2 linked regions of the Neurospora crassa OR74A genome follow. The protein of the gene in region 2 purifies or fractionates together with the protein of the main gene of each other region. This does not show direct contact. Links are inferred from orthologs where the notes say so. Each region holds a gene or a part of one and is shown on either strand. Other genes may lie near its edges.

What was found.
Region 1: the proteins of NCU03853 (region 2) and pyr-3 purify together in Saccharomyces cerevisiae (affinity purification with mass spectrometry; 5 studies listed by BioGRID, with this or other methods). This does not show direct contact. The link is inferred for Neurospora crassa OR74A from reciprocal best matches to the Saccharomyces cerevisiae genes CPR6 and URA2.

Annotation. Positions count from the first base shown.
Region 1 is NC_026504.1:2,539,174-2,545,932, forward strand, and holds the start of pyr-3 (pyrABCN), read right to left. Parts: upstream 4,200-6,759; 5' UTR 3,701-4,199; coding exon 3,094-3,700; intron 3,035-3,093; coding exon 1-3,034. UniProt on the Saccharomyces cerevisiae protein: Multifunctional protein that encodes the first 2 enzymatic activities of the de novo pyrimidine pathway: carbamoylphosphate synthetase (CPSase; EC 6.3.5.5) and aspartate transcarbamylase (ATCase; EC 2.1.3.2).
Region 2 is NC_026506.1:1,890,396-1,897,149, reverse strand, and holds NCU03853 (peptidyl-prolyl cis-trans isomerase), read left to right. Parts: upstream 1-1,951; 5' UTR 1,952-2,178; intron 2,179-2,330; 5' UTR 2,331-2,395; coding exon 2,396-2,756; intron 2,757-2,831; coding exon 2,832-3,598; 3' UTR 3,599-4,292; downstream 4,293-6,754. Other genes in the region: NCU03854 (D-tyrosyl-tRNA(Tyr) deacylase), read left to right, coding at 537-651, 723-901, 969-1,011, 1,069-1,262, 1,318-1,494; NCU03852 (GTPase activating protein), read right to left, coding at 4,293-6,754. UniProt on the Saccharomyces cerevisiae protein: PPIases accelerate the folding of proteins. It catalyzes the cis-trans isomerization of proline imidic peptide bonds in oligopeptides.

The sequences.
Region 1 (6,759 bases), on a different chromosome or scaffold from region 2:
TCACCAGAGTGAACACCGGCGTTCTCAACGTGTTCAGAAATGAAATGTCCAACAACCTTTCCATCCTTGGCCACAGCGTCCATCTCGATTTCCTTGGCGTTCTCGATGTACTTGGTAATGACGACAGGGTGCTCAGGAGAGACATCGGCAGCCTGCTGAAGGTAGGACTCAAGATCGGCCTCGGAGTAGACAGTGTTCATGGCAGCGCCAGAAAGCACATAGGAAGGTCTGACCAGCACCGGGTACGATACCTTCTGGCAGAAGGCCTTCGCCTCATCGAAGCTGGTAAGTTCCTTCCAAGTCGGCTGGTCGACACCGATACGGTCAAGCATGCGGGAGAACTTGTAGCGGTTCTCGGCAGTGTCAATCATCTCAGGAGAAGTACCCAGAACTCTGACGCCAGCACGAAGAAGGGGCAGAGCAATGTTGTTGGGGGTTTGGCCACCCATAGCTCCCAACACTCCGGTTGCGTCCTCCATCTGATAGACGTCCAGAACGGTCTCCAGGTTGATGTTCTCGAAGTACAGCTTGTCGGCTTCATCATAGTCGGTACTGACGGTCTCAGGGTTGTAGTTCACCATGATGGTCTTGAAGCCAGACTCGCGGAGCGTGCGAATGGCCCGAACGGAACACCAATCAAATTCGACGGAAGAACCAATGCGGTACACACCCGAACCAAGAACCATGACACCACGGTCTTCGAACGAAACATCGTGCTCGCTGGCGTTGTAGGTCAGATACAGGTAGTTGGTGAAGGCAGGGAATTCAGCGGCGACGGTGTCGATCTGCTTGACGAAAGGAGTGATTCCTGCCTCAAGACGCATGCGACGAATAGCTAGCTCGTTGGAATCCCAGAAGTTGGCAAGCTGACGGTCGCAGAAGCCAAGCTGCTTCGCGCGAAGGAGCAGATCAGGACGACCAACAACATCGTTAGCCGTGAGTTTGGTCATGTCCTTGGCGAAATTGCTCAGGCCCTTGAGCTTGGACAAGAACCACTTGTCGATCTTGGTCAATTCCCAGATTCTGTCGACAGTGTAGCCCGCGTGCATGGCGTTGGCAATGGCGAATAGACGCTGGTCAGAGGGGGTCTGGAGCTCGTCGTCGACGGACATGAGCGCACCCTTGGACTCGCTGAAGCCAAGGTTGTGGAAATCGATGGCACGAATAGCCTTCTGGATGGCCTCTTCAAATGTCCTGCCGATGCTCATGACCTCGCCGACACTCTTCATGGAAGAGCCGAGCTGAGTGGAGACGCGGGTGAACTTCTTCAAATCCCAACGAGGCATCTTGACCACAACATAATCCAGAGAAGGCTCGAAGCAAGCGCAGGTCACCTTGGTAACGGTGTTCTTAATCTCCTTCAGAGGAATACCGAGACCCAACTTGGCAGCAATGAAAGCCAAGGGGTATCCGGTAGCCTTGGAAGCCAAGGCCGAGGAACGCGACAATCTGGCATTGACTTCGATAATGCAGTACTCCCTGGAGAAGGGGTTCAGAGCATACTGGATGTTACACTCGCCGACAACTCCAAGATGGCGAATGACGTTGACAGCAGTAGTGCGAAGCATGTTGTAGTCTTCATCGGAAAGCGTCTGGGAAGGCGCGACGACAATGGAATCGCCGGTATGAATGCCAAGAGGATCGAAGTTCTCCATGTTGCACACAGTGATACAGTTGTCCTGGGCGTCACGAACAACCTCGTACTCGATCTCCTTCCAGCCCTTCATACTGCGCTCGACAAGAACCTGGGGACTGGCTGCCAGCGCCTTGTTGCACAGGTCAACGAGCTCAGCTTCGTTGTTGGCGAAGCCACTGCCGAGACCACCAAGAGCGTAGGCTGCACGAACAATAACCGGGTAACCAATGTCCTTGACCGCGTTGAGGGCCTCCTCAACACTGCTGGCCGAAGCGGACTTGGCACACTTCTCACCAATGGACTCCATGCTGCGAGCAAAGAGCTCACGGTCCTCCGTGGTGATGATGGTATCAATGGGGGTACCGAGAACCTTGACACCAAGAGCCTCAAACTCATCCTTGAGCTGGATACCGACCGAGAGAGCGGTTTGGCCACCAAAGGTGCAGTAGATGGCATCGGGCTGTTCGTACTTGATAACTTTCCGGACGAACTCGGCGTTTACTGGCAAGAAGTAGACCTTGTCGGCCAAGCCCTTGGAGGTCTGAATGGTGGCAATGTTGGGGTTGATGAGGACAGTGTAGATACCTTCTTCCTTCAAAGCCTTGATGGCCTGAGATCCCGAGTAGTCGAATTCACCAGCCTGACCGATGCTGAGACCACCACTGCCCAAGACGAGGACCTTCTTGACATCGACACGGGGGTGGAGTCTCTCATTCTCCTCAGTGGTTCCACCGGGGAATTCGACACCCTTCTGGAGGAGAGTGTTATCGGTAGTGCACTTGGCAACAGTCTGAATGAAGACATCAAAGAGGAACTCGGTGTCGCGGGGGCCGGGGGTGCTCTCAGGGTGGAACTGGACACTGAAGTGGGGGCGGTCGACGTGCATGATACCCTCGTTGCTGCCATCATTGGCGTTGATGAACAGCTCCTGCCATCCGGTGGGGAGAGTGGTAGCGTCAACAGCATAACCGTGGTTCTGCGAGGTGATATGGCACTTTCCGGTGACCATGCTGGTGCAAGGAATGTTGTGGCCACGGTTACCGAACTTGAGCTTGACCGTCTTGGCACCGGCAGCACGAGCGAGCAGCTGGTGACCCAAGCAGATACCGAAGATGGGTGTGTTGTTCTTCTGCAGGGCGGCAGAGATGTGCTCGACAGTGGTGTCCATGACCTTCGGGTCACCAGGACCGTTGGAGATGAACAGACCATCATATTCTTCCTTTGAGAAATCGTAGTCCCATGGGCAAACGAGGACTTCGACACCGCGCTTGATGAAGCACCTGAGTTGGTTGTACTTCATGCCGACATCGAGGCAGAGAATACGAAGGTTGCGACCCGAGGGGTGCTTGAGGGCAGTGGCCTCATCGGGCTTGTAGAGCTTGGGCTCCTTGATCGAGACTGAAAGTAGCGTGTTAGAAATGGCCTGTCCATCTTAGCGGAGGGCAAATGTTGCTTACCTTCGGCAACGAGGTTCTTCTCGTTGGGGTTAACCCATTCGATAGTCTCGAAGTGAGGCTTCCAGTCGCCAGGAACTCCGAGAGAAGGAGCGCTGACAGCCAAGTCTTCCTTCTGGAGGAGCATGCGACCAAGCATGCTACCCTTCTCGCGGATGCGCTTGGTGAGGGCGCGGGTATCGACACCGTACATGGCAGGGATGCCCTGCTCCTTGAGCCATGTTCCAAGGGACGAGGTGGCGAGGAAGTGCGAGAAGTCTTCGCCAGCATAAGAGGCGGTAACGAGACCGGCAATGTGAATCTGGTTGGACTCGAAGTGGGCGGGGAGATCCTTAAGCAGATCATCGACGGTCTCCCGCGAGGGGACGCCATAGTTTCCAACAAGAGGGAAGGTAATGACGAGAATCTGACCGCGGTACGAAGGATCGGTCACGGACTCAGGGTAGCCGACCATGCCGGTCTGGAAGACAAGCTCGCCGGCAATGCTCTTGGGCGCACCAAAGCTGTAGCCTTGGTAGGCAGAGCCATCCTCAAGCTCCAGGCAAACAAGGCCTTCGCAAGGCGCATCGGCGATGGGGGCCGTGGCGGGGCGGTAGACGGTGGCAGCCATGATGGAAACAGGTGAACTTTTAGAGTATAAACAAAAAAGAGAGAAAAATGACTATGGTAAGAAGGGTATAGTGGAAAAGAAAAGAGTAGTGAAAAAGCGGCACAGAATCGAGAATGGAAGACGGTGGTTGAGAGGACGTCAAAGATGGTGAGAGCTTCGTCAAGAAGAGCTCAGGAGCTGATTCGTTTTCGTTGGGGGATGAACAGCGAGAAACGGGCAAGGTTATGTTGGTGAATGTGTATGTTTCAGCTGGATATCCTCACTATCCAAGCTCGATATGGCCTCTGCTTGATAGCAAGAGGAAGAGAGAGAGGAGAGGAGAGGAAGAGAAAGGATCCCAGGACTCGACCACGGGGTAAATATTTTTTTTTTTTGTCTTGTTTCGGCAGCCTCGAGGAGCCCCGCCAGTCCGTCAGCCCGCCACGCTGTGCCCGTAATTGGGTTGGGGACAGACGGCCTGGGCGACGGAGCGAGGCGAGTGGGATTCAGAAAAGTTTTCCGTTATTCACGCCATTGTCCAATGCCGTCTTCGGTGGCTCGTGAGAACCTGGAGGGGCGGGTCCAGCGGGAGTTGGCAGGGCCGGCAGCGCCGCAGGACCGCGCGGGCGACACCTGCACATCCGGCAGGCAAAGATTTAGCGCGGGGCAGCGGGGGTCCCCTGAACACTGAACGACCGTCTTGGAGGGGGCCCCAGACGATTCAAGCTTGCATCGCCTGCCAAGTTCGTCTAGAGCCAAAGCCGAAAACCAATGATATTACAGGTGAAGAGAATTAAGTGGGGGGGTTTGTCAAAGACCCTGTACCGTGGGTCGCCCAGGACAAAATCTTGATGACACCCGGACCCGGGTTCAGATTTTGACCTTGGACCCGGCGAAAGGCTGAGCGGCTTAAACGTACACTAAAAGACACCATGACTATACGTACTGCATAGTAGATGCGTTGAGCCGATACCACAAAGACTACACAACTGCATAGACAATGAAGGCGCCGTCGCTGAGCATTCAATACAATGAAAGTTCCTGATTTGCGTGGTGTAAGACTGAGTTTGGTGGTGTTTTGGGTGCTGGACTCAGGTGTCATCAATCTTGTCGTGTGCGACCGTGGGTACCATCACCACCACAAAAATCCATGTCAACAAGTGCTGTCCCCTGTCACCAATCCGGGGCCCGTCCGTCCAGGTGTCCGGCATTTTCGCCGTCCCTATTTTGTCACTGCCGATCGGTCGTCTTCGACTACGTACCATCATTATTAGGACCGATGCGATGCCGTGAGGCCCGTGACGGCAGGAGAGGACCGGCAGAGTTGCAGCATGTTGTCACAATCACCATCCGATGTTCGATGTTGATATGTTCGCTAAAATTTCAGCATTGGCAGAAACCATCTTTTTTGCTTGCCCTACATGATACATATGCAGTGTACGCAGTATGCATCTGGTTGTCCTCGCCAAAATCGTGATGGGGTAAACTCCACCTCTGCAGGGATAGAAATGGTTAGCTCGGTTCTTGCGAGTGGCAAAGAACCTTAATTTTTTGCACAGGAAATGGCTCTCCTACCGTCTGCCTGCTCCCTGTTTCTTGTTCGATCGTCGTACCAAGCTAACCTTTTGTATCCCTACAGAAGAGGTGAACAAAATGGGCTTCTGCTGATCGAAGCGAGGTTTTCCTCTTACGTACGCCAACCAGCCATCTGTGGGGTGATGGAGCAGCGGTATCGCTTGCTCTTTGGGGCTCGTCAGAGTCATCGTTCGCATCGGGTCCGGTTGTCGGGATCTTAACACCGATCTCAACCGTCCCGTAGCCCTCACTTCCCTCACGGGCCGAAGTCTTCTGGCGGCGGGCGCTCACCATAGCCCACGCAGTGCGTGTTGGTGTCAGTTGCTGACTGTATATCGAGACTTGAGAGCTTCATGTACCTCTGTGTTTGCAATATAACGGGACGTACACTGTGAGGAAACGGATAAGCAACTGGGTTGATGGAGTCAAGTCTCCGAGTCATACAGCATGCCAAAGGATTTGCAAGAGTGCGGAATTCCAAAGATCATGTTCCGCTCCAAGTATGTTGAGTTTGTGCTTCGGGTCTTGGCCGGTGCCATCATCTCACTGTATGCACCACCACCCGGAAAGTCCGCCAGGGAAAATGGGCCATCCGGCTCGGAGTGGGTCTTGTTTTCGCCGGGTAAGGACCGGTCTGCTCGGGATTGTAAGCTCTTACAAGTACTGGTAACCCTGTAATTAGCGATCAGAGGTATAACGATATTCTGTCTATAACGTTCAGATTATGGGGAACAGTGCAGATTTGTATGGCGATAATATGGTAATAACGATTAACCTCTAATTTACGATTTAAATTAAGATTATTGCTGACTAATACACTAAAATCGTTATTTTTACAACCGTCTGATAGCTCCCGCCAGCTCCCAACACCTACTAATAGGAGTGTTAACCCCTTAATAGCCGATACGTTTTACCCTCTGGAAGCTAGTACTGGTTAGTATACTCCGCCCAGCCGTTTCGTCCCTCTTGTTAATTTACTTAAATTACTATATTTTGAAGTTATTTGTTTACTCTTACGATTAGAAACGAGCCCTCTTTTATGTTAGATTTCGAGATTAATATTATGCTTATTTAAAGAAACTATTGTTGTTACCCTATTAACGAGCTTCAACGTCAAAAGATTCGTGTGTTTATTTACGATAATCCTAAATATACTTAACGCGAGGTTGTTGTATGGGTTACTAAAGAATTAGGCTACCTTGTTAGTTAGTCTACTATATCCGAATTTCTGAAGCTTAAGTTCGCTTATTTGGATAAGAAGGCGTTTATAAGGGGCGTTACTAGTATTTTTAAAGTTTATTTAGCGGACTTCCCTATCCTCGAGAAGGTTCTATTCGAGTGGGTTATTCGAATAGAGAATAACTAACTTCCTATCTCCGGCGATATAATTAAAGAAGCGGCTAAGTCTCTATAGTTTAAGATACCTAACTTCCGGCTCCTTATTGTACCCTCTTTCTCTAACGGTTAGTTTAATGGATTTAAACGCCGCTATTATATTAAGAAGT
Region 2 (6,754 bases):
ATGTGATGTAGGTGGTGCTCGATGGCGATCCCCAGTTTGGTGATTGCCTCGTGTGGTCGGCGTCGTCGTCGTCGATAAATGATCCGAGATGGATTTGTGGTTTGGGAGAGAATCAGGACCGGAGGTTTGCACTGGTTTTGCAGATTCGGCGAAGAAAGATGATAGGTAGAGAGAGAGGTATGGCGATCCTGCCGAGGCTGGTACTGACCTTGGGTATTACTGCCCACTGTAGGTCTGCCTGCCCTGTCCGTAGGTGTACTATGATACAGAACTGTTTGGGGGGGGCCTCCCTTGGGCCTCTCTTCCTGTTCTGGCTGTAAAAATGGAAGGTAGCACACTACTGCCAGAACTGTAATAGTGCACAACGTAGAGGTATGGAAGGTGCCCGGCGGGGGCAAGGGTACTTCTACCCCCTGGAGGTAGACACCCAGCGGGCAGGCAGGCGCTGTAGTCACCTGGTATTGAAGCACTCTGCAGCAGCGCTGGTTCTTCAAGGCCATTTTTATGGAGACGGGACGGGAGCGCTGTTCGCCGAGATGGAGGCATTGAAAGACCGAGTCTTCACCTCATGGATCTTTGCATATTTATCGATCGAGAATTCACCAGCTAATCGTTCCATTCACGTCGAAACAGAAAACCGGAAAATGAAGGGTGCATATAGCCAAACTCCCGTCTCTCAAGTTGTTCATTGCATGCATAAATGACTAACGTGGCACATGCAGCAATTCTCCAGCGCGTGCTCTCAGCCTCTGTCACGGTCGACAACCAATTGGTTTCCTCTATTGGCCAAGGCATTCTCGTTTTGGCGGCTGTTGCTCCCGGCGACACGGTAAAGGAGGCTGAGGCTTTGGCATCCAAAGTAATCAAGTTGAAGCTGTGGGATGATGAATCAGGAGGCCGGGTACGACACTTGCTCACACAATACGCATGGACTGAGGGAACTATTTCTAACGGCCGGCAAATCACAGTGGAAGAAGAATGTCCAAGACATCGGCGGCGAGGTATTGTGTGGTGGGTGATATCTTGCCGGGTTGGCCAGACTCTCACTGCAAGACTAACATGATGTAGTCTCTCAGTTCACCTTGCTTGCTTCCACCAAGAAGGGCAGCAAGCCCGACTTCCACGGAGCCCTAGGCCCCGATGAGGCCAAGACCTTGTATGACCTGTTTTACAAGAAGGTTCAGGAAGGCTATAAAGCAGAAAAGGTTAAAAACGGTGTTTTCCAGGCTATGATGCAGGTTGCCCTGGTTAATGATGGACCGGTGAGCAATCCAACACTGCACTAGTACGCCAAGGGCCGTATTAACTTGACAGTAGGTCACCCTCGAGGTATCGGCCACGCCGGCAGCGCAGCAGCAGCAGCAGCAGCAGAAGAAGAAGAAGAAGGAAGACCAAAAGCTTAACCAGAAGCAGCAAAAGCAGCCACAACAAGGGGCCGTGGAAGACGACCAAGCGACGGCAGACAAGGTGCCTGGCTTGACTAATCAAGTCTAGGTGATAGAGTGGTTGAGGATTGCGAGATGGACCTAAGAAGGGTCGATGTAATTGCCAAATGTAGAGCCGGAAAAGATGATCTGCTAGACGTAGAGTTTAGACTAGAGGTTGATAGTTGGGTTGTAAAAGTGTGCTCGGACCAGTGTACTTGCCGCATGTCGCTGTTCTTCTTCGATGCCACAGCCCACAAGAGATGTAGAGGTACCCTTCCCGCTCTAATCTCTACACTGCGGCATCTGCCTTTACACTACATGGTGTCGGGTATGGACCCCTACGGGTTGCATCTTGAAGATACTACTGGTGGAGCCTCGGCTGCTTTAGCCGCTGCCGCTGCAAGTAAAGTACCTACTCCGTACTTGTATGCCTTGGCGAGTGGAATCAGGTATCTTTGGGTACAAAGTGGATATCAGACGAGAAGAGGGAAATGGGACGGGAGCTAAAGCACATCGCTGCCCCACCATTCTCGAATGTTCACGAAACCAATTCACCCCGCCCTGCACCCAGCTTGTTGAACCCTGAGACGAAATCATCACCGAAAGCGACTCCCATACTTTGTATTTCAACCAGTCTACCAGACGCCCTTTCTCTGTGCAGTCTTGTTCGCAACGTGCAGTTGTACTATATATTGTCCGCCTATAAACCCATTTCCTCCGTCATAGTCAGAATAGTAGCTGGTTCGGACAGGTAAGTAAGCTTCTATTTGCGCTCGCTCTGTGGACATCACGACTCCCAAATTGTTTGCCATCTTCCCTCCCTGTTTACGATTTGTGCCATGGACAAACAATTTCCTTCCACCGTAGTTGTCTGAGCTATATATGCTAACTGAGCTCGTTTAGTTTACGTACAGCTTAGACTCGTAGCAAGATCTCTTGAAATACTGATTCCTAGATTCAAGCCAACCATGTCTTCTACCGACGACGTCAAGCAGGCTCGCAGCCGCGTCTTTTTCGACATCACCATCGGCGGGAAGGCAGCCGGCCGTATTGTTTTCGAGCTTTACAATGACATTGTCCCTAAGACGGCCGAGAACTTCCGCGCTTTGTGCACCGGCGAGAAGGGTGTTGGCAAGTTGGGCAAGCCGCTACACTACAAGGGTTCCACGTTCCACCGTGTCATCAAGCAGTTCATGATCCAGGGTGGTGACTTCACCGCTGGAAACGGCACTGGTGGCGAGTCCATCTACGGCGCAAAGTTCGAGGACGAAAATTTCCAGTTGAAGCACGACCGTCCATTCCTCCTGTCCATGGCCAACGCTGGACCCGGTATGTTGCGATGTCGTTTAACTGACGGCCATCACTTTGCGGTTCCGGTCTTTTACTGACGCTTATGTCCTGCAGGTACCAACGGCTCTCAGTTCTTCGTCACCACCGTTCCTACCCCACATCTCGATGGCAAACACGTCGTCTTTGGCGAGGTGCTGAGCGGCAAGTCAGTCGTCAGACAAATTGAGAACCTGAAAACTCAGGGCGACAAGCCGACCAAGGACGCCGTCATTGCCGACTGCGGCGAGCTTAGTGGCGACGCTGCTGTGAGCGCTGACACAAAGACTGCCGACGCCTACGGCGACGAATACGAGGACTTCCCCGAAGACGAAGCCACTGACGGCCAGCCTCTCTCTGCCTCCAAGATCCTCAAGATTGCGACAGACTGCAAGGACTTTGGTAACAAGGCTTTCAAGGCCGGCGACCTCCCTGTGGCCCTCGACAAATACCAGAAGGGTCTGCGCTATCTGAACGAGGATCCCGAGCTTGACAATGAGCCGGCTGACACAAAGCAAAAGCTGGACGCCCTGCGCGTCTCGCTGAACAGCAACGCGGCTCTCATGAACATGAAGCTGAGCGCTTGGGACGAGTGCATTCGCAGCGCCGACGGCGCACTTGCTGTTGCCACTATCTCAGACAAGGACAGGGCCAAGGCTCTATACCGTAGGGGTTACGCCCAGGTGCGCATCAAGGACGAGGACAGCGCCCTGACGAGTCTGGAGGAGGCCAAGAAGCTAGCGCCTGAAGATGGCGCCATTGTTAACGAGCTGGCCGCTGTCAAGAAGGCTGCCGCGGCTAGAATGGCGAAGGAAAAGGCTGCCTACAAAAAGTTCTTCTCCTGATCAAGTTGAGGCAATGGCGACTTGAAATTATTTCGAACGTTTGTGTGTGGTTGAAGTGCTCCTCGGGTTAGAGGGTATCTACAAAAGGAGTTATCGGCATTGAGCGGGTTGGCACCAAGGTCCAATTACATACAACACCTAATGATATCCACATTGGCGTTTGGGGAGTTCAAGCTGTGTCAAGGCTGGAACATGGACTCTTGAAGGCAGTGTGTTTCGAGCAGTCACCAGAGTCTTCACAGCCTCACGGAATAGAATGTTTTTTTAGGCCACTTCGCCGCTTTTGTAGGCACAGCAGTTTTCCTCCGTGACGCATCCCCAGCAACAGCAGAAAACCTCGACCCCTCGGATTCAGATCTGGAGGCATAGGTACGGATTCGGCGGTTGGTGCTGCCGGATAGTCCGCCATGTCAATAGCCAGCATGCCCTCAGAGAATGGGCCATAACCATCATGATCGTTGCTAAAGACAATAATCAAACAGCTAAACAAGAATTATTTGCGGAAGAATAGAGAAAAGAATGAGCGCTCAGTCTGATACCCTGTCTGAAGACTCGCATTCCATATCGTAGGCATAATCGTCAATGTACGTCCCTTTGTACGGGAGCCGTTGCCCCCATTCTCAGACCAGGGTTTCCAAAGCCTTCCAAAGCGAGCATGTGCCAACAACCATTGGTGCCTCTAAATCAAGTCATTTCAAATTCCCTTCTCGTGCCAGTGTTGGTGAGCCGTGTGATGGCGATCCCCTTGGGATTTACTTGAAGACGCCCTGGCGTCTTTGCCTGGATGCTTTTCTTTACTGTCTTTCTCTCGTTCCGCGCCTCGGTCCCGCTCTCGGCCATTCTCTTTACCTGCAGCAGTGGCAGATGCCGATGCAACTGCCGACGTACTGCCTGCTTCAGGCACCATTGTCCCCGTGATGAACCCGTGACCAGGACTACCTCCGTTGCCAAACTCGGGTGAAGCCGTTCTTGTCTTGCGAATAAATCCTGTAAGGAACTTTCGTGGTGCCTGCATTCCATTGCGCAGCCCCTTCACACTTCCGCCCGACATGGACGACAGCTGCTCGCTGCTCTTAGAACCTTGCCGTATAGCGCTCGAGGCGTTCCTTATGTCCCTGCTGCCAATGCTGCTGCTGCTGCCACCTCCCATACCAGGCCCATCCATCTCACTACCTGAGGAGCCGGGCGCTATGCTCCCGCCGTCTATCCAAAAGATCCCAGTAGCGTTGCCGTGCGCAGACAAACCGAGGACATCGCCATAACTCAAGTTGTCCAGTGCATCAGAGAGACGAAGCCGCTCATCCGGTGGCCTGCTGGTAGTTTCACCAGCGCTTCGGCGAGTCTCCATCTGCGAGAAGCAATGCATTGCGCGTTGGTGGAGCGTGGTGCATAGACGATGGAAATGAAGTAGGTCGCCTTCGCAGTTGGAAGAGTCCCAGTCTGACTCGGGATGGACTTTAGCCCACAGTTTGGCTAAAGCCGCAAAGTTACGCGCATGATCGACCAGGTATGGGAGCGAAGGGAAACCCTCGCGAGCTAGAGGTGATAAGCGGCCCAGAATCGTTAGGGGGGTCGAGTAGGGAGCAGGCACGCTGTTGCTGGTACTTTCGGCCGGAATGGCGCACACGGCGTCAGCAAAATCCTTGAATGGCTGGCGCTGTTTTTGGAGAAACTCGGTCATTGGCTCCATCCATGTCTCCTTCTTGCTGGAGATGTTAAGGTTGGCTAGAGCCTGGATGGTCTTGGCGATGAGAGTCAGAGTGCGTTGTGCACGCGGTTTGGGGTGGTCGCGCAAGAGGCCGAAAAGTTTTGGGTTAAGGATAGCTGGGCAGAGGAAGCGGAGGAAGAGAAATCCGGACACCGAAGTATAAACTGCAGTAGCAGTGCGGATAAAGTGGCCATAGCGATCCTCTGCAACAGCCCGTATATATTTCAGTACGTGACGGATCTCCGACGGCAAACGATGCGCGGACGATGCGATACAGCGCCAGACAGCGCTGGTCAGCTCGATTAGCTTCGCCCAATGTTGTTGAATATCATCGCCGTTCTGCATCCTACTCGGGTCAACTTCGCAATCAAGGTCGAGCTCGTTGATTTCACGTATCTTTGCTGCCAGAGTCTCCTCCAGATATTCTTTGCCTAAGCGTCGCATGTAAATTTCAAAGGCCTGTGTCAACAATGAGTTTCCCCTGAACAGCAAGCTCGCCTCGCCCGGGAGCGTCCTGCTCATGTCCTGAACCGTCTGCCACATTTTGTCCGTGGAAGCGATCGAGTCATTTGACATCAGCCGCTGGTTGAACCGCGATTGCTTGCTGGCCGTTTGGCTCCCTATCGCGTCAATTTCTTCCTCTACCAAGGTCACCAGCCACTCTGTTGCCTTTCCAGAAACCTGGAATATATTGACGAATATTTCTGCGAGCTTCCGTAGGTTTCCAGGCATCACGTCAGCTATTTGTGTCGTCAGCCCTGACCCAAAGCGGTGTAGGAGCTCCGAGAGAGGCTGATATTCTCTGGATTGCAACACGACGACCTCTTCATGGTGCACCTTGAGAAGCATTGTTCCAATCGACTGCTGTCGTGCGTCATACACTTGGAGCCACTGCTCATGATCTTTTCCACGCTCCAGAAGATGCAAAGGGATGTCGACAGCACCGCACAACGCCTCGCTCAGCTGGCCTGTTTTGGGCAAGCCAAGAGTGGCCTGAAGCTGGTGACTGAAGCTTTCGGTATTGCCCACGATCCGTTTTAGAACCACCGATAGGTAAGGTAAGGAGGGAGGAAGATCCGTAAATTCGCAATCCTCTCGCCAAAAGGGGTTCTTGGTGTTGAATTTGATTGATGTCCGGCCTCGAACCTCGCCATCCAGTATGACCTCGGCGAAGTAATTACCGACGGCAGGGTCTGGGTCTGCAACACTTTTGTTTTGGCGCTCCATCAGGTTTCCCTCTTGAGCAAATGTTCGACTCCGTAGCCTTGCCTCGGTGACTCTAACCTTGACTGTTTTTTCGACTCTGAAAACTTCTCCTTTGGGCACTGAGCTGAGGTTGGTCACCTCGTATACACGTCCTCGGCTTGTTGAATCGAGCCCGTATAGATCAGGCACCGCAAAGGCTCTGAGAAGGGCGAACCAAGCCTCGAAAAGCAGCCTAGACTCCA